Linked DNA regions of Xenopus tropicalis. The protein of the gene in region 1 interacts with the protein of each later gene in a pairwise test. Links are inferred from orthologs where the notes say so. Each region holds a gene or a part of one and is shown in the gene's direction. Other genes may lie near its edges.

Evidence for each region.
Region 2: the proteins of bicd2 (region 1) and rab6a interact in binary tests that used the Homo sapiens proteins (3 or more experiments, as listed by UniProt). The link is inferred for Xenopus tropicalis from reciprocal best matches to the Homo sapiens genes BICD2 and RAB6A.

What each region holds. Positions count from the first base shown.
Region 1 is NC_030680.2:150,881,131-150,883,648, forward strand, and holds part of bicd2 (protein bicaudal D homolog 2), read left to right. Parts: intron 1-815; coding exon 816-967; intron 968-2,518. UniProt on the Homo sapiens protein: Acts as an adapter protein linking the dynein motor complex to various cargos and converts dynein from a non-processive to a highly processive motor in the presence of dynactin.
Region 2 is NC_030678.2:174,066,003-174,070,370, reverse strand, and holds the start of rab6a (ras-related protein Rab-6A), read left to right. Parts: upstream 1-1,335; 5' UTR 1,336-1,438; coding exon 1,439-1,508; intron 1,509-4,368. UniProt on the Homo sapiens protein: The small GTPases Rab are key regulators of intracellular membrane trafficking, from the formation of transport vesicles to their fusion with membranes.

The sequences.
Region 1 (2,518 bases):
CTTGTGTTTCAGGGGTCAGTCTTCCCCAGCGAGTCAGGTCTGTCAGGCTGCTGCCTTGTGTTACACTGTTTCAGGAGTCAGTCTCCCCCAGCGAGTCAGGTCTGTCAGGCTGCTGCCTTGTGTTACACTGTTTCAGGGGTCAGTCTTCCCCAGCGAGTCAGGTCTGTCAGGCTGCTGCCTTGTGTTACACTGTTTCAGGGGTCAGTCTCCCCCAGCGAGTCAGGTCTGTCAGGCTGCTGCCTTGTGTTACACTGTTTCAGGGGTCAGTCTCCCCCAGCGAGTCAGGTCTGTCAGGCCCCCAGGGCAGAGAATAGAAAGGGACAAACACTGCTTCTAATAGCAGTTATAAATACAAATAATATATATATATAAGTTGTATTAGGCAAACAAATATATTCTGGGTTGACTTGTCCTTTATCCATGGCCAAAGTAGGTTCCCTTTGCCAAGTCTGCATGGCGGAAGCTCCGCACTTAATCCCTGGATTATCTGAACGTGCCCGAGCCTCTCGGCCGGTGAAACCGAACCCCGGGCCCTACAGCTGCTCCCCAACTGGCGGTATCTCATGTTCCGTACATGCCAGTCACGCCTCAGGCTTCATACATATCTCACAGCTAAAGATTCTGGGTTATTTCACCTCCAGTTGAATAAATTGCTCATGGTTTGTGGGTTCTTTGCCCCCTTTTTTTTATGTTTTCAGCATTTCAGACGCAACACTGCCGCTGTTGATCTCCTGCTGCTGATTGGACTCGCGGCGGAACTCGGCGCCGACAGACCTGAGCCCTTTGGAGTAAATGTCTCTGTGCTTCTGTTACAGACGGCAGAGGTGGCCTTGGCCAATCTGAAGAGCAAGTACGAGAACGAGAAAGCGATGGTCACGGAGACGATGATGAAGCTGCGCAATGAGCTGAAGGCACTAAAGGAAGACGCTGCCACCTTCTCCTCCCTGAGGGCCATGTTTGCCACCAGGTACAAAGCCCATACATTCCATTGCCCCATTATTCTGCCCCAGTCTGGCTCCTGTGTCCACTTGGCCACCTTCTCCTCCCTGAGGGCCGTGTTTGCCACCAGGTACAAAGCCCATACATTCCATTGCCCCATTATTCTGCCCCAGTCTGGCTCCTGTGTCCACTTGGCCACCTTCTCCTCCCTGAGGGCCGTGTTTGCCACCAGGTACAAAGCCCATACATTCCATTGCCCCATTATTCTGCCCCAGTCTGGCTCCTGTGTCCACTTGGCCACCTTCTCCTTCAGTCTTAGCCCAATGCAACTTGTACTGAAATCCCATAGGCAGAAGTACTCTGTAGATGCGTCCAATGGGGCACAACTTAGGGCTCTGGCAATTGTACCCCCAGAGTTAGTAAATAGGCAATGCCCCCCAGGACTACACAGCCTTACAGATAAGACCGCCCTGTTTGCAGCCAAGGGATCAGTAACATAATATTCTGCCTCGCAAGGACCAAACATGGAGCAGCTTCAGTTTGGACAGGGGGGTGTACTGCCCCTTTAAGTAGATAATGTTACACTTGGACCAGGCTGTGCCTCCTGTCATTGACTTTAATGGTATCTGGCTAATTAGCAATTAACTTACATGCATGGCTGCACATAAATCAGTTTAGTCTGCAGCACACATCTAAATCAATTGCTAAATGGAAGGCATAGAGTTGGGGTTTCAGGTTTTTATCATTTTATATAATATATGAAATTACTTGCTGCTTTTAAAGGGGATGTTCACCTTTGAGTTAACTTTTAGTATGATGTAGAGAGTGATATTCTGAGGCAATTTGCAATTGGTCTTTATTTTTTTCAATGATTTCAGCAACTCCAGTTTTGAATTTCAGAAGCTCTTAAGTTGCTAGGGTCTCGATTACCTTAGCAACCAGGGAGTGGTTTGAATAGGAGACTGGTATATGAATAGGGGAGGGGCTGAATAGAAAGATAAGGAATAAAAAGTACCAATAACAATAAAACTGGAGCCTCACAGAGCAATAGGGTTTGGCTGCCGGGGTCAGTGACCCCCATTTGAAAGCTGCAAAGAGGCAGAAGAAGAAGGGAAATAATTCAAAAACTATAACAAATAAAGTCAGAAGAAGAAGGCGAATATTTCCCTATATAACCCACTTTTTTGGGTTTGGCTGAACCCCCGAACCCACCCTGACAGATTCTGCCCAATCCTAATTAGCATATGGTAATTAGGATCGGAAGGGGTTAAAAATTGCTGCGCTGCGCACGCTACAAATTTTTTCCCCCCTGACCATTTACCGTGGGACCGTGGATACGGGCGAAACCGAATCCTTCAACAGAAGCCTGGATTCGGCCCGAATCCCAAACCGAGACTGGGATTCAGTGCATCCCTAATAAAGTGAATAATGAAGACCAATTGAAAAGTTGCTTTAAATTGGCCATTCTATAACATATTAAGTTATTCTAAAGGTGAACCCACCCCTTTAACCCTTTAGTTGCCAAGTGGCAGGCAACGTTGATTCTGTTACGGGTTATTGCCGTAGGGGCACGCAGTTT
Region 2 (4,368 bases), on another chromosome or scaffold:
GTATGGTGTACTAATTTTCTAAATGACACTGTTACACAGCAAATAATTCCCTCTGCCATTTAACCTTTTATTCTTGAACCAACAAATGTATTTGTAGCTGTAATATTGGTGTGTAGGCGCCATCTCAGTGCATTGTGCCTGAGTCTGAGCTTTCAGCCAGCGCTACACATTAGAACTGCTTTCAGCTAACCTATTGTTTCTCCTACTCCCATGTAACTGGAGGAGTCCCAAGCCGGACTTGGATTTCTTACTATTGAGTGCTATTCTGATACCTACTGGGAGCTGCTATCTTGCTCCCTTCCCATTGTTCTGCTGATTGGCTGCTGGGGGGAGGGGGGGATATCACTCCAACTTGCAGCGCTGCAGTAAAGTGTGAGTGCAGTTTATCAGAGCACAGGTCACATGGCTGTGGCACCCTGGGAAATGAAGAATATGGCTAGCCCCATGGGAAAACAGATTACAATGCAGGATTCTGCTGGAGAAGCTCTAATAACATTTTCCCATGTCAGTATTCCTTCACACTAGTACTGTTTCAGAATTCACTTAACAACACGTTTGGCACACAGAGGGCGCTGGGAGTTGTAGTTCACTAACATGTCTAGCCGCAGGTGATTAGCGGCAAGGTATTAGCTTGGGGTTCAGAAGAGTCACATGACTGTCCCACCCATGTGACCTGTGCCCAGCGCTGCTGCTGAGGGAGGCACTCCGGGGAGCAAAGCTCAGCCATTACGTCACCCGGAAGTCACGCTAACTCAGTAACGTGGCGCCCGCAATGCGCGCTGCAACCAAACTGCCACGCAGGCTCCACCTCACTGGACGGAAACGGAGCTTTAGTTTGGTGCTTCGCTATTGGCTAGGAATGCCGAGCAGCTCATCCAATCAGAGTTGTTTACTCAGAGACGGGTCAGGACGGCACGCCCCTTTGCGTTGATTGGATTGCGGCTTGAAGGTTCCATATTGGTTGTGGCACCCCATAGAGTTGACTATCCTGAATCAGAAACACAAGCGGCTATCAGGCGCTTCCGGCAATTACTTTGCCACACGCCAAATGGCGCCCTTGACAACCCTCATACGCCCCGCCCCCGCATTTCCTGATTTGACAGCATCCCCGGCCGCTGATTGGCTCTTATACCCAGTTGGCATGGTGACAAGGCCTGGCAGGCTAGTGTGCGAGTGTGCGTCCCTGAGGGTTGGGCCTGGTACACAAGCCTGTGAGACAGGGTGGGGCTTGCCTATCAGGTGTGTGTGAGAGGTCACGGGAAGCCGCTGCCTGCCCCTCCTCGGCCGAATCTGTCGCTCTCCCCAGAGCCAAGGGCGCCCCACCCTCACTCTCCCGGGACCCTTTCCTACCGCCTATCCCTGCTGCCTGACCGAGCGCTCATTTCCGCCCGGACTTCCACTTCCCTTAACCGGATCTCGGACCCGGGTTCCCGGCACCATGTCCGCGGGAGGAGACTTCGGGAACCCGCTGAGGAAATTCAAACTTGTCTTCCTGGGGGAGCAGAGCGGTAAGGGACCCAATGCCTGGCTTCTTATACGCCTTTATAGTCTGCAGCGAATCCCTTCGTCTTATAGGTGTGCATTCTATTCTGTATATCCGCCTGTGACACACACACACACACACACACACACACACATATATATATATATATATATATATATCCCCTGATCTCATACAGATATCTCATGGCTTTTTATACGCCTTTATAGTCTGCAGCGAATCCCCTCACCTTATAGGTCTGCATTCTATTCTGTATATCCGCCTGTGACACACACACACACATATATATATATATATCCCCTGATCTCATACAGATATCTCATGGCTTCTTATACGCCTTTATAGTCTGCAGCGAATCCCCTCACCTTATAGGTCTGCATTCTATTCTGTATATCCGCCTGTGACACACACACACATATATATATATATCCCCTGATCTCATACAGATATCTCATGGCTTCTTATACGCCTTTATAGTCTGCAGCGAATCCCCTCACCTTATAGGTCTGCATTCTATTCTGTATATCCGCCTGTGACACACACACACATATATATATATATATCCCCTGATCTCATACAGATATCTCATGGCTTCTTATACGCCTTTATAGTCTGCAGCGAATCCCCTCACCTTATAGGTCTGCATTCTATTCTGTATATCCGCCTGTGACACACACACACACATATATATATATATCCCCTGATCTCATACAGATATCTCATGGCTTCTTATACGCCTTTATAGTCTGCAGCGAATCCCCTCACCTTATAGGTGTGCATTCTATTCTGTATATCCGCCTGTGATACACACACACATATATATATATATCCCCTGATCTCATACAGATATCTCATGGCTTCATAGATATCTTTATAGTCTGCAGTGAATCCCCTCATGTTATAGACATATCTGCATTCTATTCTGTATACCTGCCTGTGACAAACACACCCATATATATATATATATATCCCCTGATCTATAGCTCATATCTGCATTCTATTCTGTATATCTGCCTGTGACACACACACCCATATATATTTATATATCCCCTGATCTCATACAGATATCTCATGGCTGCTTATACACCTTTATAGTCTGCAGCGAATCCCCTCATCTTATAGGTCTGCATTCTATTCTGTATATCTGCCTGTGACACACACACCCATATATATTTATATATCCCCTGATCTCATACATATATCTCATGGCTTCTTATACGCCTTTATAGTCTGCAGCGAATCCCCTCACCTTATAGGTGTGCATTCTATTCTGTATATCCGCCTGTGATACACACACACACACACATATATATATATATATATATCCCCTGATCTCATACAAATGGCTGCTTAGATTCCTTTATAGTCTGAATATTCTCTTCTGCCTCATAGATATGCCCCCTCTCATGTCCTACACTCAGCTTCATAGAAACCCCTATAAACTGATATCCCCCATGTTATATACAGATATAATATTATATTTCTGCTCTATTCTGCACCTTTATAGCCCTGAGCGAGACCCCTGTTCTGCTACATTGTGTCTCCGTATTCAGTCACTTTCAGATATAAATATATATAATAATGATTTGCTATGAGACACCGGGCCCTATAGCAGGTAATTGGGATAATGGCCTGGGTACATACTATATAAAGAGACCTGCCTGTTTAATTGGGTGCCAGCGACGTCTCTGAACTGGATTCCTCACATACACAGAATGGGAAAGTCACCGGCGTTTATACAGGATTGCAGCTATATACAGGGTGTTATTATTTCCTTATATACAGCTCCCTGTTATGGGATATCCTTATATATAGTATTAGTGTATAGTGAACCTTATTGTTTCACCCCACCCCCTTTTTTAGGGTTCTATTTATAAAAATGGGGGGTAACCATAGACATAACCTGGAACCTTTACTCACCCTTTAACTAAAGCACTGTCCCTAGAATTTTCTTATCTCCTTAAACCCTATGGGTGAACCCCCAAGCACCATCACTAGGCCCTTATGGGTAACCCTATAAACATTACACCTGTAACTCTCAAGGAAAATCTCCCAGTCTGATACTTTTGTTAAATGCCCTAAATGTTGTCTTCTGCCTCTGAATTCCTTCGTATACACATTATTCCTTTAACCCCTTGGTTAAACCCTCAAACACTTTGGCTAAAAACTCTTATCCCTTTTCTTTACACCCTTAATTGCTTTCCTTGACACCATTTAGCTAAGCCCCTAATGCCCATCCTTTGCACCCTGTGCTAATGCCCATCCTTTGCACCCTGTGCTAATGCCCATCCTTTGCACCCTGTGCTAATGCCCATCCTTTGCACCCTGTGCTAATGCCCATCCTTTGCACCCTGTGCTGATGCCCATCCTTTGCACCCTGTGCTGATGCCCATCCTTTGCACCCTGTGCTGATGCCCATCCTTTGCACCCTGTGCTGATGCCCATCCTTTGCACCCTGTGCTGATGCCCATCCTTTGCACCCTGTGCTGATGCCCATCCTTTGCACCCTGTGCTGATGCCCATCCTTTGCACCCTGTGCTGATGCCCATCCTTTGCACCCTGTGCTGATGCCCATCCTTTGCACCCTGTGCTGATGCCCATCCTTTGCACCCTGTGCTGATGCCCATCCTTTGCACCCTGTGCTGATGCCCATCCTTTGCACCCTGTGCTGATGCCCATCCTTTGCACCCTGTGCTAAGCCCCTGATGCCCATCCTTTGCACCCTGTGCTAAGCCCCTGATGCCCATCCTTTGCACCCTGTGCTAAGCCCCTGATGCCCATCCTTTGCACCCTGTGCTAAGCCCCTGATGCCCATCCTTTGCACCCTGTGCTAAGCCCCTGATGCCCATCCTTTGCACCCTGTGCTA